Pelodiscus sinensis: one gene and its partners. The protein of the gene in region 1 purifies or fractionates together with the protein of each later gene. This does not show direct contact. Links are inferred from orthologs where the notes say so. Each region holds a gene or a part of one and is shown on either strand. Other genes may lie near its edges. The genes, in order: LRRK2, RPL23, DNAJA1 and tubulin alpha-1A chain.

Region 1 (6,860 bases):
GGGGCCACTGACCCACAGAAAAATCAGTTGGGGTCCACACACAAGCGAGAAGCATAAAAACCCACCAAAATCATCACTGATGTGGCCCCAACTAAGGAGGAGAAAGACACTCCCCACATTCCCCTTGCACACCATAGCTAGGGGGGCCTCGGCTAGTAGAGTTTGTGTGCTCCGGTCCCACAGGGGGACAGTAGGGGCTGGAGTGCCAGCACAGGCTCCCCAATGCTGAGGAGGGGCCTTGAGCTTCAAAGGTCAGATCCAGACAAGGCAGGGCCACATCCAGCCCCCGGGCCTTAGGCTCCCCACCCTTGAGCTAAGGTATAAATTGACCTGTGTCTGGTCCTTTAGAATCAGGAGAACCTGTTCAGAGCTGGTGAGATCTGTTTCCATAACTGCTCACATGTGTAAGGTATCATAGTGGTTGTGACGCAGATAATGCTGGCATGTCTAAAGGGATTGTTTGTGTAACTTTTCTTGCTGTCCAGATTGACAGCTAAAGTGTAGTTATAGAGGAAGGTGTAAATAGCCTGATTCTAAGCAATTTGCCCTGATTTGACCCTTTCAGCAGTGCACCCAGACCACCTGTTACATTACATTATGAAGATATGAAGATCCAAATGACCAATTATAATGAATCATTAACTTTCAACTCAAAAATTCAGTATGCAATTTAGTAATTATATCATTGATTGAGAGGACACTTTTTTCCCCCAAAAAGAGTTAAAATTTATTTATGGCAGCCACACACATGAAAATTAACACCCCATTACAAATATCATTACACCGTAATCACTCTTCAAAAAGGAAGGCATAGCATCCACAACAGAATTCAAATTAGGATTAACCAGTTATGTAAACAGGATTAGTAAAAATGTGCAATTTATGCTAGTTAAGATAAGCATTTGAGGAGATATAAAAACCCATAGTTGGTATTAGAGAGTCTTCCCAAAGGTGTAATTACTGACTATATAATTTACAGCATATTTTAAACTTTCCTCTGAAGTTTCTGGTGCCAACAACTGTCTGAAGGTCAAGACTGCAATGCATCTATCACCATTCCTTGAAAAGAGTGTTTGAACTATTAATTCTGCAGTAAGAAAACTGTATTAGATTTGCTGATATGGATCTATTTCTTATCAATCAACTTTGTCATTAGGAAAGTTAGCAGAAGTGAGAAACCATTTAACTAATTTCTAAATCTGAATCACTGTTTCATCAGACTGACACGTTGTCTTTTTAGGGCTTTGCCTTTCAAGGGAAACAAGCTAAAACTTCATGTCACAAATGCAGTCATGGTTTTGTGGTTGATAATTATTAAACCAAGATAAGAGTTTCTTGGTATAACACTTAAAAATATGGCTTGATTCAGATAGCACTGCCCTATGTTTTGAGTATCAAGTTGATACTAATAGTTCAAGGATAGTTTAGTCAACAAGCATTTGCAGTAACCAACGATTTGTAGGTGTTTCAGAATGCTTGTGTATAAAAAATGAAACATTTTAAAAAGAAGCATTAAGTTGGTGTTTTCTTCATGTGTTTTTATATTAAGCACTGTGCATGCTTTTCAGTAACCAGGGCATCAGGGTATAGGTAAGCATGAGAGCTTCAATAACTCCACAATCCTAGTTGCTCCTTCAAAAACGGTAAGGCAATCATCATGTTTAACAGAGAAAAACTTAATTACTCTTAAGCTGTATCTACACTGGCATGATCTTGTGCAAAAGCAGCAGCTCTTGCACAAAAACATGCTACTGTATATACTGGCCACGTGTTCTTGCGCAAGTAAACTGACGTTTTAATGTATGAAATCAGGGCTTCTTGTGCCAGAACTCTGACGCTCCCGCTCAGGAATAAGCCCTTTTGCGCAACTGTTCTTGTGCAAGAGGCCAGTGTAGACAGGCAACATGAATTTCTTGTGCAAGAAAGCCCTATGGTTAAAATGGCCATCAGAGCTTTCTTGTGCAAGAGAGCGTCTACCCTGGCATGGATGCTCTTGCGCAAAAGCACATCTCTTGTGCAAAAGCACATGCCAGCGTAGATGCTCTCTTCCGGAAGAGTTTTTGCAGAAGAACTCTTCCGCAAAAGAGTTCTTCCGCAAGCTGCCAGTGTAGACGTAGCCTAAAAGTATTCAATTTCTCTTCCTTTAGTCAGAAGAATTTTGTATTGGTTACAATTTAGTTACTAAAAATGTGATTTGTAGTATCAGGCTTGAAGCACTTAAAAAGGTGAAAAACAAAACTGGTGACAGTACAGGTTTGTTTTTGCAAAAGCAGCAAAGAGAAAGTGGCTGCTTTTGCACAAAATCTTGCCAGTCTAGATGCAGCCTAAAAGATTAAGAGTAAAAATTAGCAATACTTTCATTAACATACTGTTGCAAGCCCCATTTGTAGATGATTATTTTTCATGTGGCACCTTTTACAACTATTCTGGAGATGTGACAGACACATTGATGAATTTAAAGACAGATACACTAACAAGTTGGTTAGTACACTGAAACTCCTGTATTTTCTAGTTGTGTATTTATTACAAAAGAACAATCACAAGAACTTGAAGTTTATAAATTTTAAATCACATTATCACTGTTTCCCTTCCTGAATCCACTAATGGTGTGGCTAAATTAATTTCAAATAATTGTATATAATAGAAGCATGTGTGGCATGAAAATGAGAGACAGCTATCCCACTTCAAAATAATTTCAAACGTGGTGAGATCAGGGGTGGCCCATGAGCCTAGTCAGACTAGGCAGTTGCCTAGAGCGCCGCTGGCCCAGGCGCCCGATGATGATGTCATGGGGCGCCCTGTGATTACATCACAGACATTGACCGCTATGCAGGCAGGGGCACCAATTGCGCCTTCTGCCTGGGGCGCTAGCTGCTACAGCTGGCCTCGGGCCACTCCTGGGTGAGATGAGGGACTCTAGATCTTATTTTATTTTATACTTCAGAAATTTGCAGTAAATTCAATGCTTCTTAAGCCTCTGTCATATAAATAATAGATGATAGCTAGAGTTCATTAGCAGAGTTGCTCCTTTACTCAAAAGGAGGCGCTTTTTTTTGAAAGTCCCCTCATTCTGGAGATGGACTTAGCTAATTGCTTAATAGGCTTGCCAAATGGTTTCAACAAAAATATTGGACACACTTGACGTGACATCACAAGCTACATTACATCTTATTTAGAAACGACCATATTTATATTTTCTCAATTTGTTTCCCAAACAGGACTGTTCAGTTCAAAACCAGACACCTGGCAACCCTATGATTTGGAGCCTCTTGCCTGCAAAGGACAGCTGACTGTACTGGTACTGAGACAAGTACTGAGAAGTTCAAAGGCCTAGCCTAGGAGGTGCATGTTCTAACTTCATAGTAGCAGCAGCCAAGAGGAAGGATGGGGTGTCCGCAACAGCTATGCTCTGACCAGTAATCACAGCACCCAACCCAGGCTCTGAGGCAGCCTAACATGCCTGGGACCCTCCCATCTGGGGGACAGCTGGAAAATCAACTGTAGCCCTTCCTGAGACACATGGCGAGCCTGGAGCACAGCACCTTCTTGCTCAGCCAGGCCCCTTCTGGGGCCCACCCCAGCCACCCGCAGTGACTCCCCTGTTCGTACCCCATGAGACCCTTTTGCCCCATTCGTAAGGGCCCCAAAAGGGGCCACCACAGCTAGCTAGCTATGCCTTGGCCAGCCACCCTCGCGACCAACAAGAACGCGTCAGAAGCGCTACGTGGCTCGCCGCCCCCTTATGAGACCGAGAGAGGCAGGAAGGGGCGGGCCTCTCCAGAGCTCCCATGCGATTGGAGGGCGGGGCTGTCAGTGGCTGTAACTGATTGGTTGATGCTACCCTAACGCCCCCTCCCCACCGAATCCTGCTGGGATTGCAACGCGAGACTGTGTAGCGGGAGCGCCCTCTACGGGCAACCGGGCGGCGCTGCGGCCCCTTCCCCTCGAGCTGGGCCGGGCCTGCGGACACTCGCCGCAGATGTTGTCAGCGCTGAGGTGAAGGGGCGGGGATGCGGCTTAAAAATAGTCCGATGACTCCGGCGGCGGGGCTGAGCCGCGGCCCGCGGGATCGACATGGCGGCGGCAGCCGGGGAGCGCTCCCAGCACACTCGCTGAGATGAGGCGGGGCTCGGACATGGCCAGTGGAAGCCGCTGCCGGGAGGAGCAGCAGGAGCCGGAGGAGGAGGAGGAGGAGAGGGAGGAAGCCGCCCTGGGGAAACTGGTCGTTCGCCTGACGAACGTGCAGGAGGGGACGCAGCTGCAGAGCGTGCTGCAGACGCTGGAGGACTTGCTGGCCTTGGCCCACCGGCCCCGCGGTGAGGTTCCTGCCCGGGCGGGCGGGCCCCGCTACGGCTCCCCGGCTCGGCCCCGCGAGTAACCGGCTCTTTCCTCTCTCCTCAGCCCCCAAGCTCTTCGCTGGCCGGAACCTCCACGTGCCCTTGTTGCTGGTGTTGGACTCCCACTTGCGCGTGGCCGCGGTGCAGCAGGTAAACCCCTCACCCCTAGCTGGCAGACCCAGAGCCTGACACCGCCCCTTGGCGAGCCAGCCCCGAGCTCCCCGCAACTTGGCGGGCAGTTTGGATTCAGAGCCCAACTTGGCGGCTGGCGCTGGTTTTTAATGAGCCACATGGAAACTTCCTCGAGGTTTGGGACTGTCCAGCTCGGTCAAGTCTCCGCTCCTGGCCAGCTAGTAACAACAGACACGGGCGTCTTGTGCCAGACAGGCAGGTGTGAAGACCGCTAGACAGTGGTGCACAGGAATAGTCTCCTTGAAAATGCTGTTGCTGACCATATTGTCACCGCGGAGATGACATAGGGTGACAGTATTACTGTGAGATGAGAAATACAAAACTATAGCTCCAGGGCCCAAAAGTCAGCAGTTCTGTATAGTTACCATCAGGTGTTCCAGTAAATAACCATGTTAAAGAGAGATGTGCATTAAAAATAAATAAAATAGTAAATGGGGTATTATTAATCTGTGGAATTCAGTTATTTGTGTTGTGATTTCTTCTGTATCAAAGTACATGTTGGAAAACAGATTATAATAGTTACTACTGTTACATTATACGTTAAAAGTTTTTCTGTTAAAAGTATTTCTACAAAAGCCTGTCTAGTAAGGATGCTTTTGCGCAAAAAGTGCTTGCCAGTCTAGACGCACTGCTAATGTTCCTAATATAGTATACCACAGTCCTGGACCACGGCTCTAGAATATTAATGATTTTTAAAAAAAATGCTGTATGTAGTATTTACATTGTAAAGGATGGCTAAAGTTTTTTGTCAGCTGTTTGCTAAAAAGAATAATTTTGTCTCTTTTCCTAAGCTCTAAATCAAAATAAAGCAAAGTATGTTCATAAATTACATACGAACTATATTGCACAGATCACATATGATGTCATGCACTACAAACATTGTGATAATCCAATATTGTTTCTAAATGGAGCAGGATGTGTTAAGGAAGTAACATCTGTCTTTTATACCCACTGTCATGCTCAGGACAACTTCAGAAACAAAGCAGGGAAAGTTCTGTAGTTTATTCTGTTTGGTTACCTCTGTTATTTAAGGCTGACTCATTTTATATTAAATATTGCAGGTGCTTTCCAATGTCATTTTCACATTTGTTTTCAGACAGAGATCCTTCCTAGCAGTCAATCATGTAAAATAAAATGCATGTTATCCCCAAAAGATGTTTAAAGACATCTAGGAGGCTATGCCCTGCTCACTACACTCACCAACCCTCCTCTCTCCAGAGAGCCTGATGACATAATTCTGTCACATGCAGCAGAAAAAACTTTTGTGTATATATATATATGGAGAAATATGATCTCTGTAAGACTGGTTTGTATTTTCTAAAAATAAATGTATGATTTACATTTTTTTCACCTTTTAAAAGTTCAGTTTGTTCGGCTGCAAAATGTAATTCCCCCCATATCTATTTTAAATAATGGGAATGGTCTACATTAACAGATACACAAATTCAGAGTAAGCAGTAAATTGTATTCTTGATTTTTACCTGTCATGTATAGTTGTTACATTAATAATAACAATGAAAGTAATTTTTTGCACTATTATTATATCTTTTATTAGAGGATAACCAGGTAATGTGAGGAATCTGAAACTTTAATTCATAATTCACTATTCAATTATCACATAGGTAAAAAATTTGTATAGCCATTGCTTTTAAATTGGGTTGAACCTATCAGTTGTTTAGCAATAGCAGAATGGCACAGAAGTCAAGAATAGTAAGTAAAAGTACTTCAAACTGCAACTGTATGGGAAATTTTTAAAACCTGATAAAGAAGAAAGTGGTAACTATACCTGAACTGCAATTTGGCTAGGATGCAAGGGTAATATCTTTTAGTGTACTCTTAAAAATGGTTTTAAAATGAAGTTTCAGCCTCTTATCTGAATTTCTTAGCCTTCGAGAGTTTACTTTAGACTTTTTATAGCTCTTTAATATTGTTTTAACCAAGGACTTAGCCAGATGCAACTCAAAAACTTAATGTCACGAAGTGCTGCAACCATCCTTTCCTCTATTCCCTAATGCTATAACAAATTTAAAAATATTCTACACTAACTATACTCTATCTTCCCTGCTTCATCCATTGTGATTCACTTGTGGGAGTCTTGAATCTGAGTTTGTGGCAAGGACTGTAGATGCTGTGTGTAGATCCCCTGTTAGTGTAGGCATGCTGTAAAGGTGTAACCAAAACAACTGTTTTTCATTGCACAGGTTAATAGAGCAGTAGCTCTTTCTAATTTGTAGCACAAAAGTGAAATTGACCAATGTTTTGAAATAAGTTGAAGTAAGGGCGGTGTCTGGATTGATTAATATATTTCCTTCTGGCTGAGCTTGCCACACA
Region 2 (7,809 bases), on another chromosome or scaffold:
TGGCAGCCGGTTCAGGCGGCCCTTAATCCCCTTCACGGAGATGATGTACAGGTTCTTGGCTCCTACAGGAGAAAAACATCCTGAATTAGCCAACTCACCACAGATGTCCTCAAACGGTTCACTGTCCCATCACTCATTGAAGTGAACAGCACATGCTGCTACCTCACCCAAAAGCGATGCCTTTCTTATGCCCTTCCACGACAACTCCCTGAGTCACTGAGCACAGACCCAGCAAGTGCTTTTCAGAAGGGGGAAGCTGCTACTGCTGCCTCAGAGGTAGGATGCAATTTTTTAGCACCATTGAGCAAGAAGTTGAAATTCTACAGAAGCAGGTTAATCGATACACAGACATTAAGGCCAGGATAAATCATCTTGATCAGCTAGTCTGATTCCTAGGGTAGTCCAGTAACTTGTGTCAAGCCCATAATTTCTCTTTGTCTTAAAGTAGGAGTGGGGAACCTTTTGGGTTGAGGTCACTGAGCCATAGAAAAATTAGTTGGGAGCCACACAAGCAAGGAGCAACACACATCCCTCCCCAATGTAGCCCCCAACTGAGAGTGAGAGTGAGAGGGAAAGGAGAGGAAAGAAGACATTCACCTCATTATCCTCAAGCTTAGGGGGACCAGGCTGAACAGATTTTGAACACCCCCCCCACCCCTGCGCTGATTTTGGGTGAGGACAAAAACAAGAGGTTCAGTGCATGGGAGGGAATGCTAGGGAGCTGGCTGGGGATGTTGGGTCTGGATAGGAGGTAGGGCATAGAAGTTTGAGGTGTGGGTGAAGCAGTAGGGGGTTGGGACACCTACCTGGTCCACTTCCAGGGAGGAAAGGGGCGGGGGGAGCCCCAAGCTTTGCGGATCGGATCAAGACAAACTGCAGGCTGAATGTGGCCTGCAGGTTCCCCATTACCGATTTAAAGCATCTCTCTCAGAGATAGACAGTCTTATTTAAAGACTCCAAATGATTGAGAGTCCACCTAGTTGTTTTATTATCATCACAGTTAAAACCTCTCTCTATTTCTAGTGCGAATTTGTCTAGCTTCAACTTCTAAGCCCTGATTTCTATTTGTCAGTTACCTATACAAACGCTAACCAGATACACAGACAAGGCAGAAGGGATGCTGAAGCAGAAGTGATACTGACTCCAGAAAGGAGCCACAGACTCACCTGTATTATCCGCACAGTTGATCACAGCTCCCACAGGAAGACCCAGGGAAATACGGAATTTCGCGCCGGACGAACCACCACGTCCTGTAGGTTAAAAAGAAAAGACATATTCTTTAAACATTGATTCACAAGCCAGTAAGACCATCCGGAATGGAATTTAACAGGTTTTCAAATTGAAATTTGTGATTTTTTTCCTATGCCAGGGATAATATGAATTATTTCCCTGGTTTATTTATACCATGATTTTATCTAAAGTTCTTTTTAAAAAGCGAATCACGTTTTTACTTACATGCTACCAGTTCTTTACTTTTTCTCCATTATAATATAAAGTGTGTGTTTTCTGGTTTTTCTCTTTACTTTCCTAACTGTTGATGAAATGTATGTGGAAATTACAGGGTTATTTTCCCCACTAAGTTTTACCCTTAAAACTGTTCATCACTACTAGCCTCATATTAACACCTTTACTATGAGAACACAAACCCAAACACAAAATTGCTAAGCAAATAACCAGTTCCATGTTTGTAACTTAAACCACGTTCTGATACATGGGACTCCAACAAGCCAAGTACGCTGAATATTCGACCACTTTACACTCCTCCAGCAGGAACTGAAGCTACTAAATCTATTAGGTGCTTCTGAAAATCCCAACTACAAGCACTTAAAGTTGCACCTAATTTGGGGCTATTAATTTTCACTTGGGTGTATTAAGAAAAACTCACAAAAGCTTTATTTACATACTGAAATTCCAAGTAATTATCCACCACTACCAATAATAATGGCAAAGATTTTACAGAAAGAGAAATGTTTAATGAAACTACAATCGTAGCCTCTGAGGCTGCAAATGCTTATTATGCATGCAAATAAAGCTACACACCTGTTCAAACATTTGCACCATCAGGACCCTCACAGTTGTTTTGAATTGCGGAGTGATTTAGTCAAATAAAATCCCCTTCCAGCAGGGTATTATTAAAGAGTGCAGAGACTGACCTTTCATTTGGTTATAAAAGTTTTAATTTAAACCTGCAGTAGCACAATTATCCAAGCAGTCTCAATCCCCATCTAAACCGGCCATATTTAAAAAAATGCCATTTAAAACACTCCGTTCAGACCACGGCATTTTAATCCGCCTCTCCCTGTTGCATACAGGCATCATACACATGGCTCAGCCCAAGGAAAGCGGCGCATCTCTCTGCTTTTTCCTTCTCGCTTACAGGGCTTGTTGCTCCTCTTGCATACAGAGGCACAAGGAGCAGTTTCCACCCATGAGACGATCCTTAAGAGTCCCCTCCCCCCCCCCCAAAAAAAACTGGGGTTGCACTCTGGGGCAGTTTATTTCGACCCTAATTTCTCATCCACGTGGGGCTTAGCACCCCCCCTTCTAAGCTAAGCCTCACCCTGAAAGTCCCCCCAACCCGTCTACGGACACTCCAATGCCCCCTCCCTGTCCACCAACCCCCAATACCTAAGACGCCCCCCTTCTGCACAGCCTCAAACCACCCCCTCTCCCCGGGACCCGCCAGTCCCCGTCCCCAGCGGGCCTAGCCCCCACTGTTTCCCTCCGCCAGACCCGGTCCTGAAGGGAGCCCGGGCTCCCCCTGTTCCATCCCCCCGGGTCCGGGAGCCGCGCGGCCCCCGTGACCCGAGGATGGGGACGGATACTCCCCGCCCCCCTCCCCGAGCGGGAACCGCTCTCGCTAGGCCTCACCTCGCTTGGACATCTTGGGGCCGAGGAAAAAAAAAAAGAGAAAGGGAGCCGCACGGGATGCCGGGATATTAGTCCGCGCAGGGCGACAGCCTGCTACGTCACACCAAGGCGCGCGGAGGCGGCGACCTGCCTCAGCACGTGACGGGTTACGCGCTATTCCCTCATCACGTGATAAAGAACGGCTGGCTGGTCTCTGCAGCCGTTGGTCGTCCCAGTGCACCACACTGCCACCTACGGGGGCAAATGGGGAACTGCAGCTGCTTTCTGTAAAGCGTCTGAGCGCAATCGCTTAGCAAAGCTCATGGGACATTTGCAAGGGCAGACCCCTTCCAGCCTGTGTTCCCTGTCATTTGTGCTCTTGGGCGGCCTCCCAGGAGAGATGCAGGTGCCGCCTAGCTGGTTAGCAGAGTGCCCACAGAAGGCAGCATGTGTTTCTTTTGGTGGTGCACATATGCACCTGCCTTGGTGCACATAACAAAATTTATTCCTCGCATGGATGGAAAAACATTAGAATAGAGAACATTGCTCATAGCATTGAATTTTGGCAAGGGCAGCTTGCTCTGGTATAAATTGCTTTGTGATGGGCAGGACCTCTGTTTTATTCCCATCCAAGCACCACTTAATCCAATGCCAAATAGTTCAGAGGTTGGCACTAACCCTATTGGTCTAACTCTGCAAATCAGCTTTATATCCACTGACCGTGTGTGTGGATTACAGATCAACTGTGGATACACATTTCGTATCTGTACCAGGCTCTGCCTACTCATCCCACGCTGGGCTACTTGTTTCAGCAATCTGTGTTGCTGGCCTGGTCAAGTGCAGACAGTCACATCTTACGACTGTGGTTCTCCTCTTGCAGGATGTGAGCTGGAAATTAACCGGAGCAGACTTAAATTAAAACCACTGCGGGAAAATAGAGTATGTGGCCAAAAATGGCAAATAATCACAGGGAAAATATAACACCTGTGGGAGCATCAGGACGGACAACTAGATACCATCAAGCTTACATCTATTGCCTGCAGAGCAACATGTCAACAGCTCAGACAAACAGATTTTTCCACAATGCAGAGTTCCATAGTGCAGGATCTGGATGAAATCTGACCCTAAATATCACATTACATTTATGATGATGGATTGTAAAGAAGCTTTTTTGGGAGGGGGGGTTCAGAATTCACTTTGCAATATTGACAGTTATCAAATAGATTTGTTTTCTCCTCCCTGCCCTGCCTCCTCCAGTCACATTTTCCCATTCAGGATCCCATTGAGTGAGCTAACAATGTGGAATGTGTGACCTCTCACACAGATCTAAGACAGCCAGTGTGGTCATACCAATGGGGACAGGTCCACACCGGTGCTGGAAATTACTGGAATGTCCAGTATTGTGGGAGTGCATGAGTGGCCACACTAGCAGGCAGCAATGTCATAAGCACAGAGATGTGACTTTGCTCTGGGTTCAAGTAATAATTCATTTCACGTCTATAGCACTTTTCATGCGCTGCATGAAGAAAAACTTCCTTTTGTTTGTTTTAAATCTATTGCCTATTAATTTTGATGGGTGTCCCCTAGTTCTTATGCTATGGGAATAAGTAAATAACTTTTCCTAATTCACTTTCTCCATACCTCCATATTCTCTAACCCAATGCAGGGCAGGCCCAAGCATAACACTGCAAAATGTCCCTCATGTAGGCCAATTCTTTCAGTCTTCCTTCACAGGTCATGCTTTCTGGACCTTCCATCATTTTTGTTGCTCTTCTCTAGACCCTCCCCAATTTCTCCACGTCTGTTCCGAAATGTGGTGCCCAGAACTGGACACAACACTCCACGCGATACTGGAAGGGTTTTAAGTGTCTTTATTAATAACGTGTGCAGGTGTTGAAGTAGTTGCTTTGCAAAGCCTCTGAATTCCTGGTTGTAACAGTCCCTTGTCCCCAGAGCTTTAAACTGTAAACCAGAGCAGTTTTGGGGGATGCGGGCTCTGGGAACAGGCAGGCTGGAGGTAGAGAGTGCCTGGATTATAGTGTGTCACTTCTGGGGAGGAGAACTGAGACAGGGAGTCTTTACCCAAGGAGCTGGAGAAGCCAAAGGGAGAGCAGTGTACGGCCCAGCAGCCTGATGAGTGTCCACCAGGGGAGCATGATAAAATCTGTGTATATGACCATATGTCATGGGTGGGGCACTTTTAGGGATGAAAGAGCCACTTGGAGCAGGGGGGGAGCATTGCCATGAGAGGATCATCGGGGGATCTGATTCCTGCCTCCCCTTGGCTGGCAGTCACATTGTGAAATCCTAAATGGAGCAAGGCCCATATTGCCCTGCAGATGTATCCAGCACCGGGTAGATTTGAAACTGGGACCTCTGAAGCTTAGTGTAGCAGTCACTACAGAGATAAAGCCAGCTGGCTTTCAGCTTAGGCCAGCGTTTCTTAAACTTTTTAAGACCGAGGAACATCAAACAATAATTTTTTTATGAGGAACAAAAAAAAAAAAAAAAAAAAGTCACCTGCCCCTTTAAGGGTGGCCATTTTGAACTCTGTTGTTCTCCGTGGCACACCTCCGACTGCCTCGCTGCACACCGGTGTGCCGCAGAACACAGTTTAAGAAACACTGACTTAGGCTGTAGCATTCCCTTGTTCTTATCTCTCACTCTAAGTGCCACTGCATGGTACAGTGAACCACACTAGGTCTACATTACAGAGTTTTGTTGGAAAAACAGCTATTTTTCTGACAAAACCTGAGAAACGTCCACACTGCAATCATGTTCTTTTGAAAGTAAATTGAAAGAACAGAGGAGTTTTTCTGGAGTTGGTAAACCTCTATGAAGAAGAAACCTTTTTAGCGAAAGAGCTCTTTCAAAAAAAGGTGTGTGTGGACGGGGAAGAGGGAGTTCTTTCGAAAGAAGAGGAAAGAGGAAAAAGCACAGGTGCCCTGGTGGCCATTCCGCCCATAGTAATCACAGCTTACATGCGAGACAGCGTCTACTCAGTGTGGACTCTATCTGTCGTAAAAACAGATCACTTTTTCGATGCACTTTTGCAGTTTGGATGCTCTCTTTCAGAAGTTTTTTCGGAAGATCTCTTCCAGAAAAGCTTCTTCCGAAAGAAACCTGCAGTCTAGACATAGCTAGTGTGTGGGTTACACAGACTCTGTCTTTGCCGCTGAAAAGGATGGGTTGGTTTTCACGGTGTGATTAAAAAACATGAGACTCCTAAGCAGAGAAAAGCTACTTGTTGCAATTACCATGAGGTAGCTAGGCAACGTCAGCAATTATCCTCTCTCGGGCAGTGGGGGAGGGGGTTCTCGCCTCATTTGATTAGTACAACGTTAGGGCAACGAGAAAGCTCCCCCATGCCCGCCTGTCTCTGGCAAGTCTTTCAATGGTTTCCTAGCTGTGCCCCAGGTTTTTCAGCTCTGCCTAGTTTACCTTGGAGTAAACCCAAACCCCTCTTGCCTCCTCTTTGGTTTTGTTTACAGCAAGCCACCAAATAGGCAGGTGCATTATCCCACAGTAGAAACATCCTTATTTGTCCGTAAGGACAGGCCCAGAAGAGAGACAAGCGGTTAAGCAGTGTCCCATGTGCACGGAGAGGGGCTGTTATTCAACACATTTCACAAGTTTAACCAGAAGGGGCTCTGCCAATTAGCCAGGATTCACAACAGTCATTCGTTTTTTTTTAAATTTTGAGTTTTTGGCTGCGACTTGCTAGATGCAGCAGATTTAGCCCATACCAATGGTTAGGCCAGCGGTCACCAACCAGTCGATCGGGATCTAGGGGTCGATCTGGGAGCCTCTCACAGGTGATCCTGATTGGTCTGGCCAAGAGGCTACCAAGTGCTGGCACGTCAGCTGCCCCTCCCCACAGGGCTGTGCTTTGCCTGGGAGCTGCCCCTCCCCTTGAAGAGCCTTCTGCTTTCTCTGCAGGGCAGGAGAGGGAGAGGAGGGCGCTGATGTCAAGGTGCCCCCCCCACACTTTGTAGCCCATCTCCACAGAGTAGAAAGGAGGCCCAACAGGACTTGGGATGGAGGTTGCTGACTGCTTTAGGGAGTGGGCCAGGGCAGAGGTGAGCCTGGCTTAGCCCCACTGCACCATCAACCAGGAGCCACCTGAAGTAAGCTGTGCGCCGCTGGAGCCCACATCCCACACTCCTACCCCAGTTACCTCCCTCCTGCACCCCAAGCCCCTACCCTAGCCCTGAGCATCCCTGCATCCAAACACTGTCCCAGAGCCTGTACCTAGACCCCCCCCCCGAACCTCAGTTGGCTGCCCCAGGCTTACCTCTGAGCCCCTCTCACATTCCAGATCCCTTAATCCAAGACCAGCCCTCTGCCTCAGACCAGGAGCGGCCCTAGACTGGCTGCCAGCAACTGGCGCCCTAGGGGAACCATGCAATCAGTGCCCTAGGCAAACCATGCAATCGGCGCCTCCACCTCCAAACCCCTCAACGATATTGCGCCACCATTTGGCGCCCCATTTAACTTGGCGCCCTAAGTGACCGCCTAGTTCGCCTATATGGACGGGCCGCCCCTGCCTCAGACTAGTGAAAGTGAGGGAGGATGGAGTGAGCAGGGGGCGGGGCTCACAGAAGGGGCACGAAGGAGGCGGGGCAAAGGTATATGGGTGTGACAGAGATCTTGGATTGCACTTAAATTCAAAAAAAGTGATCTCGTGCTTAAAAAGGTTGGAGACCACTGGATTAGGCCCAGAATATCACAATTCCTGGTTGGAAATTTTTTCCATGCACCCACCGCTGCTACACACACGCAACACATGCTCACACACGCACACACAAAAAGTCAAGGAGGGTCACACACGAGCTTCTAAAGAATCCTTGTGTGGTTGTCATAAGGGACTACCTTGTATGTGTACATTTCCCCCTTAAAATTATATTTCAGTCCTATTGATTTTGTGACTCTCAAAGCATGTTAGCCAAAACGTGAAAG
Region 3 (7,392 bases), on another chromosome or scaffold:
TCTTTCGCTGTTTTGTTTTTGAGTACTGTTATGTAACAACAACAACAAAAATCTCCATTTGTAAATTGCCCTTTCATGCTATAGAGATTACAAGAACTGCGGTACATCAATGTGCATTGAAAAATACTATTTTTATAGTGCAAATATTTGTAAACCAAAGTAATATAAAGTGAGCATTTTACACTATTTTTGCTGTGACTGAAGTCAATATATTTGAAAACACAGAAAAACGTCAAAACTATTTAATAAATTTCTATTGGCGTTCTATTGTTTAGCAGTGGGATTAAAACTGCATTTTATCATGATTTTTGAGTTAGTCACAAGTCAATTGCCATTAATTGTCAGCCCTAGTTTTTTAACTACTTAGCTGTTTTCAAACTAGCAGTTGTGTGTACACTGAAGCTATTACTTACCCTGTTGCCTTGAACATTTCTTGTCTGTTATTTCGGTCTCTGGGCCACGCCCTATTACTGTTGTTTCTAAGTGTGGCAATTTGATTCGCTGACAGCATTTATCTTTCCTCACTAGCCAGCACACCCGCATGATTGCACTGTGAAATAAATAAGAGGACATAGACAGGATTACAATCAGATAGGGATCAAGATCCCGTGGCTGACTACAGGATTGGGCATCAGAAGTTCTTGTTTCTATTGCCAGTCCACTAATTGGCTGCATGACGTTGGCTAATTTGCTTAACGTTGCTGTGACTTATTATCCTTCTCTACAAAATGGTACTAATAAGAGATATTTCAAGGCCTTATTTAATTATCTATGTAGTGGTTTGATAGCATCTCCCACAGAAAGATGCTGAAATGCAAAATATTTACTATTATACACACCAAGTTTACATTATTCAGTACATATTTGTTTATCATGTTGAGCGATACCCATATTTCTCCAATCAGCTGATACAACATTAGGCTGCCTATATATATTGTTTTTATAGACACATCACATTCATTTTTAGATTTGCCACTGTGGCCACTTCTGTAAGTTCCAATAGCAAGTTTTATTCAGTAGGATTTTACTACACTATATATCACTTGTCCACCATAACCCCTACCTCCTTTTCAGAAAAATTGCCTTCTAGGATATAGTACACCATTCTACAGGGATAGCCTATATTTTTTGTTCCTAGATGTATACCGTCACATTTGGCTGCATTAAATGTTTTGTTTTAATGGACACAGCTTATCCAATGGTCCAGATGTTTCTGTATGAAAAACCTAGCCTTAGCATCATTTACTACTTTGCCAATATTGGTGTCATCTTCATATGTTACTAGCAGTGATTTTACATTTATTGGCAGAACAATGACAAAAGTATGCAATGGGATTGGTCCTAGTACTGATTCCTATAGAACACCATTTATTTCAGCAGTAAAAACACAGCTATATGGTGCACTGGGCTATTGTGTATGTTACTTAGGGATATTAAAATGCATTTATTTGTGTAAATGTGTATCCGCTGAAATTTTCAGCAGAATTTTTTTCAAGTTTGGGAGGAAGAGGGAGGTGGTGCTCGTGGGGAGCTGGCTTTTCAGCTCACTCATTGCAAGTGCCAGCTCCTGTTCCCTCCCTCCTGCTGCCTCTGTTATAGGGATGGGGGGGAAGAGAGAGAGGGGAGCCGCTTGACAGGAACCAATATGCGAAGGGAGCTGGCGTCAAAGCTGGTTCTCTGCATGCATCGGCTCCCATCTGCTCAGGAGCCAAGATGTGTGGAGATCTGGATTCCCATACATACCGGCTCCAGCCTGCTCCCCTACCCCCACACTGCTGCCTCTGCCACTGCAGAGCAGGCATGCGCACAGAGCTGTCTTAAAAGCTGGATCTCCCCACATACCAGCTCCTGCTTGCTCTGTGGGAGGCAGCAGCACGGGCAGGAGCAGGGAGCTCAGCAGCAGCTGATATGCCCCAATAGGCACCATTTCCCACCTCTCCCACTTTTTGCTGCCTCTGATACAGAGATAGCAAGGGGAGGGGGAAGTATGTAGTTGTTAAGATTAACCGATAAGCCCAGGCCTATCGGTTATTCATGTAGATGACTACCCACTAACATCCGTAATGTTAATTTTGTTCTCTGCCACACAACACGAGACAGCAGCAGCATGGCTGCTTCCAAGTTATACTTTTAGTTTTACCAGTAAAACCTTCCAGGGGGACATTTACACCTTTACTGGCTTAATTTATGACATTAAGCTAAACTGACAAAACCCATCCTTATGCTAGAATGAGTCTGTGCAATCTAGGGATGTGACAGGTGGCCAGTTAACCAGTTACCTGGTAAGCATCACCCTTGCTGCATGATGCATACTGATGAACCAGTACCAGGGAGCAGCCGCCTTCTCACAGCTGGCACCGCTGTACAGAGAGAAGGAGGGAGGAAGAGCCAGCCGCTCCATTTGGGAAGGCGCAGTAAAAGCAGAAGTCAGTTCCCCTGTGCTTAGGACTACTAGTGGATCCAAGTTAATGAGTTAACTGGTAAAACCTAAGGTTTAACTGATTAACCGTGAGTTTACATCCCTAGTGTCAACAGGAGAAGTTATAAAAGGATAACTATGCCAGTTTAAATTCACACCATAACTTAAACTGTTATAGCTTACCAATGTAAGAAACATTTTTTAAAGCAGACTTAGTGATTCAGTGAAATTGGTGCAAACTTTTGCCTGGGCACTTCCAATGTGTTCTGACTGAAACGTGTTCCTTTTCAGTTTAACCTAGACTATATAACTTATAACTATGCCAAAGAAAGTGACAGAGTTGACCCATACAATGAAGGCCTTAATTAGAATGGTAATAGAAATGTAGCCGTGTTAGTCTGGGGTAGCTGAAGCAAAATGCAGGACTATGTAGCACTTGAAAGACTAACAAGATGGTTCAATAGGTGATGAGCTTTTGTGGGCCAGACCCACTTCCTCAGATCAAATAGTGGAAGAAAATAGTCACAACCATATATACCAAAGGATACAATTAATGCAAGTTTCTTCACCCCTCGCCCCGACACTGCCTGCCCGCCCCCTCCTCTCCCTCACCTGCCCCCCTCACCCCCGCCCCCTCCCTCGCCTGCTCCCCTCACCCCCGGCACTGCCCGCCCCCTACTCTCCCTCGCCTGCCCCCCTCACCCCCGGCACTGCCCCGCCCTCACCTGCTCCTCTCACCCCCGCCCCTCCTCTCCCTCGCCTGGCCCCCTCATCCCCACCCCCTTCTCTCCCTCACCTGCACCCCTCGCTCTGGCACTGCCCCCCTCTCCCTCACCTGCCCCCCCTCCCTCAACTGCCCCCCTCACCCGCGGCACTGCCCCCCCTCTCCTTCACCTGCCCCCCCTCCCTCGCCTGCCCCCCTCACCTGCCCCCCTCCCTCCCTCGCCTGCCCCCCTCACCCCCGGCACTGCCCCCCCTCACCTGCCCCCCTCCCTCCCTCGCCTGCCCCCCTCACCTGCCCCCCTCCCTCCCTCGCCTGCCCCCCTCACCCCCGGCACTGCCCCCCCTCACCTGCCCCCCTCCCTCCCTCGCCTGCCCCCCTCACCTGCCCCCCTCCCTCCCTCGCCTGCCCCCCTCACCCCCGGCACTGCCCCCCCTCCCTCCCTCCCTCGCCTGCCCCCCTCACCCCCGGCACTGCCCCCCCTCGCCTGCTCCCCTCCCTCCCTCCCTCGCCTGCCCCCCTCACCCCCGGCACTGCCCCCCCTCGCCTGCCCCCCTCCCTCCCTCCCTCCCTCGCCTGCCCCCCTCACCCCCGGCACTGCCCCCCCTCGCCTGCCCCCCTCCCTCCCTCCCTCGCCTGCCCCCCTCACCCCCGGCACTGCCCCCCCTCCCTCCCTCACCTGCCCCCCTCACCCCCGGCACTGCCCCCCCTCCCTCCCTCGCCTGCCCCCCTCACCCCCGGCACTGCCCCCCCTCCCTCGCCTGCCCCCCTCACCCCCGGCACTGCCCCCCCCTCGGCGCCCCGCGGGCAGGGCCAGTCACCGTCTCGCTGCCAGCGTCACACGCCTGCGTCCGCCCCACCAATCAGATCCGGGCCACGGCGCATCCCAGAAGTTGTGCGCAGGCGCTTTCGGAAGCCCCGTCCCTCGCTGGAGGGCGGGCAGAGCCAGCAGCAGCGGGCGGGGGGGAGGGGGTCACGTGATACGCCCTCGCCTTGCCGCGCGCGCTGCCTGCGGGCTGGGAGTGTTCACAGGAAACAGGCCCTGGCGCGCGCTCCGCCGCGTGCCACTCACAACCCCGCCCGACACCGGCTGCTGGGGCGCGTCCCGCTGTGTCCCGCCCCTACACCCAGCGCTCCACTGCACGCGCACAGCTTGGGGCTCGCACGGCATGCTGGGGGTTGTAGTCCCGGGAGCCAAGCCAAAGATTGGCTCTCCTCCGCCTGGCCCGTCCCCATCCTTGATTCGGCCGGGAAACCGAGGGGGCGGGACTTCCGGGGTGGAGCTTCTGCGGCTACAAAAGTCCCCGGAAGGAGCGACCGGCTCATAGAGAACTTTCCAGAAGGGTCTCGAGCGGCCGAAGCAGCTGAGAAGCCCGGAGCTCGCCAAGCCCTGCCCGGTGAGTGGGGCCGGCCCCCGCTGCCGCCTTTTCTCCCCCCCCCCCCCCGCGCCGGCCGCTGCCCCTCCCCCCCCGGTCTCGCTGCCCCCCGCCGGCCGCTACCCCCCCTCTCCCCCGGTCTCGCTGCCTCTGCCCCTCTCCCGCCCCCCCCCCGCGCTGCCGCTGCCCCCCTCCGCTCCCCCCCGGTCTCGGTGCCCCCTCCCCCCGCGCCGGTCGCTGCCCCCTCCCCCCCGTCTCGCTGCCTCTGCCCCTCTCCCGCCCCCCTCCCCCCGCGCCGGTCGCTGCTCCCCTGCCCCCCCCCCAGTCTCGCTGCCCCTCTCCCGCCCCCCCCCCCGCGCCGGCCGCTGCCCCTCCCCCCCCCCCGTCTCGCTGCCTCTGCCCCTCTCCCGCCCCCCTCCCCCCCGGTCTCGCTGCCTCGCCCCCCCCCCCCCGCCGGCCGCTGCCCCCGTTCCCCCAGCCCGGGCCCGAGGGGCGGCCGGTGTTGGCTGACGGCGGGCTCCCGCAGGCCGGCGCCATGGTGAAGGAGACGACGTACTACGACGTGCTGGGGGTGAAGCCGGGCGCCACGCAGGAGGAGCTGAAGAAGGCCTATCGCAAGCTGGCGCTCAAGTACCACCCCGACAAGAACCCCAACGAGGGCGAGAAGGCAAGTGGGGCCGGGCTCGCCGGGCACTGGCCCGGGGCTACCTCGTCCCCACGCCCAGCACTTACTCTGGTGTTTCTTGCAGTTCAAGCAGATCTCGCAAGCATACGAAGTGCTTTCTGATCCAAAGAAGAGAGACTTGTATGACAAAGGTGGTGAGCAGGCTATTAAAGAGGGTGGTACTGGCAGCAGTTTTGGGTCACCCATGGATATTTTTGATATGTTCTTTGGAGGAGGTGGAAGAATGCAGAGAGAGCGCAGAGGTAATTTCACTTTCTCTGGTACTGCCTAAGGGACTCTTTGCTGCTGAAGTATTTTCTTGTTAGTCACACATCCTGTAGTACCTAGTATAAGGCTATAGATACTTATGTGTTTAAGCTGCACCTTTTTACAAATAAGGCTTTTCATGCTATGTAGCAGTGTCTAAAATGATCATTACAATGATAAAACAATATCTAAAAAGGCACTGTTCTAAAACCAATGTTTTAAATGCTAGCATAGAGGAGATTAAGTTTTTAAATAAAAAGCTGTTTTAGTTAATATTCTATAACCAGGCATAGGGTTAAGGTTTGATTTTTGTGCCCTCTTTGCAGATGGTAATGAGCCGGGCTCTCAAATATTGGAAAAAAGTTTGCAGTATCTTTAAGCAAAGACCTTAGTACTAAGCTTTGCTTAATTAGTCACTGAAAAGGATTGACATATTGTAATTCTAAGTTAATTACTATTTTAAAATAAGACCATATTCTCTTTACAGGTAAAAATGTTGTTCATCAGTTGTCAGTATCTTTGGAAGACTTGTACAATGGTGCAACAAGAAAACTGGCTCTGCAAAAGAATGTGATCTGTGATAAATGTGAAGGTATGTTAATCAGTCTCTGTGGGATAGGCATGTTACAATCTAACTTTAATAAAAAGTAGTCCTTACTATAGTAATTCCTCACTTAATGTGTGTCCGCTTAACACATTTTTGCGATAGCACAATTTTGGGAACATTTTTGAAGTACATGACCGTTCCCAGAATAACACTATTTCCCCAGCCGGCCTGTTGCCAGTGGCTGCGCAGGGCTTCCCCATCTTCCTGCAAAGCGGAGGAGGGTTCACTGCTCGCTGCGCCATTCCCGCTGACTACCCCTCGCTGGACGCCTTGCGCCCCCCCCCCTCCCCCCCCGCGCTGCTTGCAGGCTGGCAGTTAGGGGTTTCCCCAGCTGGCCTATCACTGGTGGCTGCGCAGGGCTTCCCCCGCCTCCTTGCAAAGTGGCAGAGGGTTCGCAGCTTACTGTGCCATTCCCCGGCACCCCCCTCCCCCCCGCACTGCAGTGCACGTCCCAGCAGACCCAGCACAGGGGCATACTTCCAACCCAGTCCCCTTCTCCTCTCCTCTTCCCCAGAGCCAAACACCTCCCCCTCCCTGCTGTAACCCAGTCCCCTTTCTCCCCAACCTTATATCCCGGACCCAACAGACACCACTGCTTGAACCGCAACCCCCACCTTTTCCATTATTTTCAATGGGAAAATTGACCCCACATAACACATTTTCACTTAACACCATCATTTTTTGAAACATATCTATAGTGTTAAATGAGGAATCACTGTATAGATATATATGCTAGTCTATCATGCGCTTTCGTGAACAAAACCCACTTCAGCCCATGACTGCTCATTTTAGAGATACATCAGGGCCTGATGAAATGTATCGTAGAATACTCAAAGAGCTGATAGAGGCGGTATCTGACCCTCTAGCTATCACCTTTGGAAAAACATGGGAGACAGGAGAGATTCCAGAAAAGGGAGTGACTTGAGCGTAGGGATTTCCCTGTGCGGATTGGCCCCGGGGTTTGGCCTGGGGAGGCACCCGTGGGGGTTTGGCCCCGCTGCAAGAGAGGCGGCTTGGCCCCGGGGAAGGCGCCCACAGGGTTTGGCCGCACCGTGGGAGAGGGGGTTTGGCCCCAGGGCAGGCACGCGTGGGGTTTCCCTGTGCCGCAGGGGGTGCGGGAGTCAGGCCTGGAGGAGGAATGTGCTGGCTTCCCTCTGCGGGGGGGGGGGGGGGGGGGGGGGAATCCTGGGAGGAGGCAGATGGAGGGGACTCTGCTGCCACTGGCACCCTGTCTCCTGTCTGTGCTCCCCAGACCCTACTCCCCTGTCCCCAGCTACAAAACTCTGTCCCCATTCCCATCCCCAGCTACAGAATTCTGTCCCCACTGGCACCCTGTCC
Region 4 (7,246 bases), on another chromosome or scaffold:
CAGCCAGCCAGGGGGGGACAATTGCTTTCTCATGGGGCCCCCCTCCCTGTTTCCCCAGCTGTCTCTCTGTCTTCCAGGCTTTTTCTATCCTCATCTCTCCCCAGCCTCTCTCCTCCCTCTCCCCTTCCCAGGCCAGCTTCTCCTGGGGCTCAGTCATATGACTTGCAAGGTGATAAAGGAAGACCAAATGCCACCAGGGATTCCTGTTCTGTCTCCTAGCAACTGAACAACTCGTTGCCTAGCAGCGGGTGAGCAGGGCTCTGTCTTACAAACCTAATTAGAGAGCAAGCACCTCTGAGGCGCCTGTGTCCTTGAGATGGAGCCATTGATTTTATTCCACAGCGCCCAGGGGATAGTTCATTGATCCCTCTGCTGCATTGGCAGAGCCATTGCCTCTTGCTTTAATAACAACCCTCTGCCCTGCCCTAAGACCTTCCACCCAGGATCTAAAGACTCTTCACAGACTTTCGTGAATTGCCTCACAGCTCCCCTGGAAGAGGAATGAGCGGTACAACCCTCGGCTACGTCTAGACTGGCATGATTTTCCGCAAATGCTTTTAACAGAAAAGTTTTCCGTTAAAAGCATTTGCGGAAAGAGCATCTAGATTGGCATGTACACTTTTGCGCAAAAGCATCCGTGGCCAATCTAGACGCTTTTTTGCGCAAAACAAATCTGAGCTGTCTACACTGGCCCTTTTGCGCAAAAGCTTTGCGCAAAAGGACTTTTGCCCAAACGGGAGCTGGCAAGTTTTTCCACAAAATCAGCTGCTTTTGCAGAAAAACTTGCCAGTCTAGACACAGCCCACATGTTACAGGTGGGGAAACTGAGGCACACGGTGATTTGGTGACTCACACAAGGTCACAGAGCAGGGCAAAGGACAGAACCCAGGAGTCCCAGTTTTTTCTTCCTCCTAGAGCCTGGAAAGGAACCAAGGAGTCCTGATTGCCCAGATCTCTGCTCTAGCTCTCTCCTGAAGGCTGGCGTTATCAGCAGCAACACAGCGCCCCCTAAGCTGCCATGGGAATGAAGCCATGCCAGCTCCTTGCATGAGGCTGGCACAGGGATTGATCTTGTGGGGAAGGCCCTGAATGTGTGGAAAGAAGAACAGTGTCCTCTCCCATCAATATAGTGGGAGGTGTCCCCATGCACCCAAAGAGATGCTTCATGCTCCACACACCCCTCAGGAGACACACAGCACAGCTGGAAAAAGCAGCAGGGCACAGCCTGGCATGCCTGAGACGGGGTGGACAGCAAGGCTTTCTATAAAAGGATCTAAGAGCCGGCTGTCTGCAACCTGCCCAGCCAGCATGGAGCCAGGATCAACACCCTTGTTAACCCCCGCCTGACCCTCCCCGGCTTCTATATCCAGTCGCTGTGCTCTACCCTGCCCTCATCTTAAGCAGGGCTAAGCAGTGTTGTGCTGCGCAAGCTCCTGTGAAACCAGATGGGCTGGGGTGGGGGAAAGAGGGGAGGAGGAGCTGCTGCTGTGAAGGCCAAGTCTGCTTCCTTGTGCATTTCAAGGCTAGCATTCACTTAGGCAAGTTCTGCCTCTGTGCTGGGCCTGAGGATGGTCAGGGACCACAGTACTGTGCCCATATCAAACTCCTTCCACTCCAGGCTCTTAAAGCATTTTGCAAACATTAAGGAATTAAACCTCACCAGCTTTCTATTATCCACCATTGTGCAGAAAGAGAAACTGAGGTACAGTAGGGCTCATGAACTTGCCCTGGAGATCCTAAGTCTCTTGATTCTTAGTTTTGTGCCTTAACCACTGAACAATACTCCCTCCCTAAATACATCCACTGGGCACCTCTCTGGCTCACAAAGGTAGGTTACAGTAGGTGTAGCTGTCCCAGTGCAAAATCCTAGAGGAAGCTGCTATTTTCACGGATGGAACCAGGGCAAATTCTTGAAAGGTGTGAATTGGGACCAGCTGAGAGTCTGGTCCCTGGTGTAGGTAAGGCCATAGATTAGAGTGAAAAGAAGGAAGTCAGGGAGGAAAAAAAGGCCAGCAGCATTTCCTGTGCACCAGCCCATAAACATGTAACTGATTTTGGTGAGTGTTCAAATGGATGATTGAGTTTCAGCTCGGGATCTTCCGGTCACTAATGCACTGCAAAGCCCATTTACAAACTAGAGTAAAATGACCCTGAGAACTTGACAGGTCTCCACAGGAAATTGAATTTCCTGAGCTCTCCTCCTCCCCCTCTCCCTCTCCCTGGAAGAGGTATATATATCCAGTAAGCAGCATGTTGTACTCTAAGCTGCTGTACATGTAAAGGTAAATGTAGCATTTTGCTGTGTCCTGGAGTATAACTAGATGGCTCTCTATGTAGTGCACAGGCCAGAGTCCAGGGCAGGATCACAGGCTGTTGTTTCTATTTGTTTCGCTACAATGTGGTTAGAAATTTACAGGTCTCTGTGGGTAGACAGGAACTTGACGAAAAAAACTCAGGTCTGAACATGGCCAAATTGCAATGCTAGCTATCCACCTCTTCTTTGAGCAGCATCCTCCACTGGTGTAAATCAGTGAGGTACCACTGAAGTTCATTTTCACCAGCTGAGGATTTGACCATCTGTTCTTCAGAATGCCCCAGAAGTTCCTTTGTTCAGCTGTGCCTATGGAATCCTGGAGTCTCTTTGTACCTCATCAGTTCCCTGGGGAATGTAGGTCCTTTGTCCTTTTATGATTCAGGAGCAACTCCAGATACAGTCTGTATGTGCTGTCATGCCACAGGGGGCCAATATTCACAGGGATGTTAGTGCAAAAAAATAGCCAGGGGGCTGGGGCTACTTTTCCTGCCTGTTAGAGAGAAATGTGTCAAACTAGTAGAAGCATGGGAGCAGGAACCCAGAGCAGGCTGCAGAATATGGGAAATGTGTAGAAAATCGTGATTTCTTGTGAGGGGGATTGAAAATGTTGCTCACCAGTCTGCAACAAAGCAGCCAGTCTCACAGCTCCACCTGCAGCAGCTGCTGCCTGTCCCCTCCCCACCCCCTCGCCTCAGTTGCCAGCTCTGCAGAAATGGAGCTAGAAAGGCACCTCCGGCCCTGGAAAAGAGGATCTGAGCTCGCCCTGTGGAAAAGGGGGAAATTGGGGATGAGAGACACCTCCCTGTGCTAGCCTCCCCTTTGCAATCGGGTGTAGTGGAACAATTTGTACAGTGTGTGTGGGGCGGGAGGGGAGGAGGCTGGGAGCCATTGAACAGAACTGCAAACCTTGTATATGATGGACATTATTTGGAGCCCAGCAGCTGTGCTGGCCAAGCTCTGGCAGCACACTCCTGCATGCCCTGAAGGTGAGGTCGGGGCTCTAACTCTCAGCTCACGGTTGCTGTAAGTTGGACCAGCCATGACACTCACTACACACCAGCCTAGGGACAGACACTTCCCATCACAACCCTGTGGGGTGGGAACAGCCAGCTCCATGGGGTGGGCCGTGGGCGGTTCTCTGAAGATGGGGATGCATGACTGGAAGGGTGATCTGGTACTTGCAACCCTATGCCCCCACCCGACCCTCCCCTGTATAATTCTCCCATGGCCAAGATGCCAAGTGCTCCCTACAAGCACAGCTGCCAGACCAGCTGTAGCCCAGGTCAGGAACCTCCCCAGACCTAGAGGCTGCTAAGAACCCTTGAACCAAAGTGCAAACCCTGGAACTGATAGGAAGCACTGACTCAAGTCGGTGGGGTGGCAGCCCCCCCAGTCCCAGCCAGGCTCTTCCCTGCTGCTGGGGGGCGAGGTGAGTGCGGGATCCCGTGGGTATTTCGGGGGACGACGACACAGGGAGCAGGGGCTGGAAGTCACTTGCATGGGAGCACCCCACCTGGCAGAGAGCAGGACTGACCCTAGACTATCTCCTCGGGGGTGGGAGATCCCTGACAGCCCAATTCCATGTGGTACCAGTCAGGAGCCCCGAACCTGCCTCACCCGACCCTAAACTTAGCCCTCGGGGAGGAGGGGGCTGGATGACCATGTACTTGATCCCCACACGCTCTTGGCTCATCGGGGGCCCCAACTAAAGGCTCTTCCCTTCCGGTGTCGCCCCAGCTTTCCCCACACAATGCGGCGCGAACCTGGAGGCGGGGGAGGGGGTTCACGCACGCTCCGGATCGGGGCTGACTGCAGCATCTAGCTGCTGCAAAGCCGCCCGCCCCGCCCGCTCTTTGTCTGCAAGCTGGGGGGCGGGGCCATGACCTCATCCTGAGCGCTCCGCACCAATCGCCGGGCGGAAACGGTCGAGGCGGACCAATGGCTGGCAGCCCAGGCCCGTCGCCATGGTGACCGAAGGGTATAAAGGAGGCGGGCCGGCGCGCACACCCTAAGTTCTCTTACAGCGATCCCCTAAGAGTCGCGCGGTAAGAAAGCGGCCAGCGCCCCGCCCGCAGCCAGCATGGTAAGGGGCGCGTGCGGGGCTGCACGCCACGGGGGGCGCGGTAGAGCAGAGAGGAAATGGGGCGCTAAGGGAGTGCGGGGGGGGGCGCGGCTGTCCCCCCCGCTGGCTGCAGGGCTCCCGGGGGGGCGCGGCTGTCCCCCCCGCTGGCTGCAGGGCTCCCGGGGGGCGCGGCTGTCCCCCCGCTGGCTGCAGGGCTCCCGGGGGGCGCGGCTGTCCCCCCGCTGGCTGCAGGGCTCCCGGGGGGCGCGGCTGTCCCCCCGCTGGCTGCAGGGCAGGGCAAATGCAGGCGCTTTTCAAAAGCTCCCAATCTCCCCGCCTCGCTGGCCGGATCGCAGCCGGCGGCTCTGCTCCGCCTTCCCCCGTTCCCCCTTTGGGCGGAGGCACCAGCTGGACTGCGGGAGGGGGACGTGCCAAACCGCCGGGTCCCGGCTGCAAAATCCTTCCCAGCAGAGCAGCCGTGGCTGCCCGGGCTAGCGGGGGATGGAGGGCCACGCCCTGGCGTCCCAGAGGAGGGCGGGCTGCCCGGCCCCCTGCCCACAGAGCAGCTGAGCCAGGGGCTGGTTTCCCACCGAGGTCCCATTTCAGCATCGGGCTGGGCTGCACTGACCACGCCTCTGCTCCCCACTCAACCCCCCCCACTAGCTAGCGCAGGGGAGGGGGCCCTGACCCAGCAGACAAAGGGGGAGGGGGCCTCAGGCGCTTGGGTCCACACTGATGGTTCTGGGGCGCAGGAGGCAGCTGCCTGGATGGGGCTTGGGAGGGAAACGTGCCGTGTAGGCGACCCGCATATCCCTAGTCCTTGTATCGCTGGGCTCGGTGCACGAGGGCTGCATTTTAGCGCCTCGGCAGCATCCCCAGGGCGATGGTCGAGTTCGCAACTCCCCGCTCTCTGCGCACTAAAGGCGGAGCGTCGGGGCTGGGGAATGGCAGCCAGCCCCTTCCCGCAGATGCTGGCTTGCTTGGCATGTGAGTTAGCTTGGACTTTTGTTCTGGCTGATCCATTGATTGTCTCCGCTCCTAGGCGGGTCTGTTCCCAGATGAGGTCAGCGGAGGGGAATTGGCAAACCAGTCTAATGAGATCATGCTGGAAATAGACCAGCCAGTGCTAAGCCAGGGCTGTCCGCACAGACTCCGGCAGGCATGGGGCAGAGGATAGTTAATGGTCTCTCAGTTGCACCAAATGAGCCTGTTCCCAGGCTGGGTGTGGTAGCTCCATTCATTATTCCCTAGGCTAGCCTTCCTGGCTGGGGAAGAGCCATTGGCATGTGGGAGGGAGGGCCAGGTACTGGGGGCACAGAAAGCAAATCAGTAGTTTGGAGGGTGAACTTACCAACTGCTGAGCACCTGCTGGGAAAGGATTCAGCATCCACAATGGGGCCAATTTCTCCATGAGGCACCAGAGTTGTGGGGGGTGGAAGTCTGGCTTGCCTTGTTTTGTAGACTGGGATTCTTATTCATGAGAAGTCCCATCCCAATCCTCTATCCAAATCAGTTTTGCCAGTTCTCTGGGAGAAGAATCAGGCCCTACAGATAAAAAAAGGGCGTGGCAGGTGGGCACATTTCAAGAAGTGTGATGCTGCAAAAGGGTTTCCAGTTACCTCCTACCTGTCTGGGTTAACAAGTATTTTCTTCTCTCTGTACTCTTCCTTTGCCCCCCTATTTTGAGAGCATATGGTGGTTAGACCATGTGGTGTTAAACAAAGAGTTAGCATCTGTGTGACTGTGCTGCTGACTCTTCAGAGCATGCCCCTCTCTAAAGCTTAACCCCTGATACTGCTGCTACAGTTATAAGCACTGAAGAGCCAAAAAAGGCAAACATGGGAGTGTCAAAGGGATCTTCTAGAGATACCTCCATTGCTACTTATTAACATGCAATTGCAGACCAGGCCAATGTGTTCACATCTCTTCCCTGCCTCCCATTCTCTTCTCCACAGCGTGAGTGCATCTCTATCCACGTCGGCCAGGCTGGTGTCCAGATCGGCAATGCCTGCTGGGAGCTCTACTGCCTGGAACATGGGATCCAGCCTGATGGCCAGATGCCCAGTGACAAGACCATCGGTGGAGGAGATGACTCCTTCAACACCTTCTTCAGCGAGACAGGCGCCGGCAAGCACGTGCCCAGGGCTGTCTTTGTGGACTTGGAACCAACCGTGATAGGTGAGTATGCAAAGCCATCATCTAACTGCTTTCTGGACTCCCCTTGTAAGCCCATGTGCAGACAGCTACTGTGCATGGACAGTGGGGAGAGACCGACTCTCTGCCTTTCCTCTCCCCAGATGAAGTGCGCACTGGAACCTACCGCCAACTCTTCCACCCTGAGCAGCTCATTACTGGCAAGGAAGATGCTGCCAACAACTATGCCCGTGGGCACTACACCATTGGCAAGGAGATAATCGACCTGGTTCTCGACAGAATCCGCAAGCTGGTAGATACCATCTCCTTTTAGCATAATCTGGGCAGGTTGTGAATAGAAAGCTGATTGAAGAATGTAAATTCACTGCTGATGGATTTTCCCCCATTTCCAATTCCAGATAATCATATTGTTAATGTTTTTATTGCCACCATATTTGTAGGTGGTCCCAAGGTGAAGTTAAAACTCCTTTGGAATAGAGTAGTTACTCAGAGCAATCTTGGGATAAGAATACCAGACAGTGAATACAGACAAGAAATGTTTTAAGAGATAAATTATTACATTGCTTCCAATTGCACTGGATTTACACTGATGAAACTCCTCTAAGAATGATGGAGTGGGCCCAGATTAATAGAACAGAATTTGGATTCTAAGAGGGGGAAAATGTCTAGGATGGGAAGAAAGTAAGAACTCTTCTCTCTTCCCCCCCCCCCCCCCC

Evidence for each region.
Region 2: the proteins of LRRK2 (region 1) and RPL23 purify together in Homo sapiens (affinity purification with mass spectrometry; 3 studies listed by BioGRID and IntAct, with this or other methods). This does not show direct contact. The link is inferred for Pelodiscus sinensis from reciprocal best matches to the Homo sapiens genes LRRK2 and RPL23.
Region 3: the proteins of LRRK2 (region 1) and DNAJA1 purify together in Homo sapiens (co-immunoprecipitation; 4 studies listed by BioGRID and IntAct, with this or other methods). This does not show direct contact. The link is inferred for Pelodiscus sinensis from reciprocal best matches to the Homo sapiens genes LRRK2 and DNAJA1.
Region 4: the proteins of LRRK2 (region 1) and tubulin alpha-1A chain purify together in Homo sapiens (affinity purification with western blotting; 4 studies listed by BioGRID and IntAct, with this or other methods). This does not show direct contact. The link is inferred for Pelodiscus sinensis from reciprocal best matches to the Homo sapiens genes LRRK2 and TUBA1A.

Annotation. Positions count from the first base shown.
Region 1 is NC_134711.1:27,626,846-27,633,705, reverse strand, and holds the start of LRRK2 (leucine-rich repeat serine/threonine-protein kinase 2), read left to right. Parts: upstream 1-3,850; 5' UTR 3,851-4,117; coding exon 4,118-4,316; intron 4,317-4,401; coding exon 4,402-4,487; intron 4,488-6,860. UniProt on the Homo sapiens protein: Serine/threonine-protein kinase which phosphorylates a broad range of proteins involved in multiple processes such as neuronal plasticity, innate immunity, autophagy, and vesicle trafficking.
Region 2 is NC_134739.1:12,361,664-12,369,472, reverse strand, and holds the start of RPL23 (large ribosomal subunit protein uL14), read right to left. Parts: upstream 3,004-7,809; 5' UTR 2,885-3,003; coding exon 2,872-2,884; intron 1,251-2,871; coding exon 1,167-1,250; intron 253-1,166; exon of another isoform or gene 120-252; intron 63-119; coding exon 1-62.
Region 3 is NC_134716.1:17,264-24,655, forward strand, and holds the start of DNAJA1 (dnaJ homolog subfamily A member 1), read left to right. Parts: upstream 1-4,384; 5' UTR 4,385-4,537; intron 4,538-5,042; 5' UTR 5,043-5,051; coding exon 5,052-5,183; intron 5,184-5,265; coding exon 5,266-5,443; intron 5,444-5,934; coding exon 5,935-6,039; intron 6,040-7,392. Other genes in the region: APTX (aprataxin), read right to left, coding at 414-550, 2,280-2,401.
Region 4 is NC_134729.1:4,833,768-4,841,013, forward strand, and holds the start of tubulin alpha-1A chain, read left to right. Parts: upstream 1-4,239; 5' UTR 4,240-4,394; coding exon 4,395-4,397; intron 4,398-6,331; coding exon 6,332-6,554; intron 6,555-6,673; coding exon 6,674-6,822; intron 6,823-7,246. UniProt on the Homo sapiens protein: Tubulin is the major constituent of microtubules, a cylinder consisting of laterally associated linear protofilaments composed of alpha- and beta-tubulin heterodimers.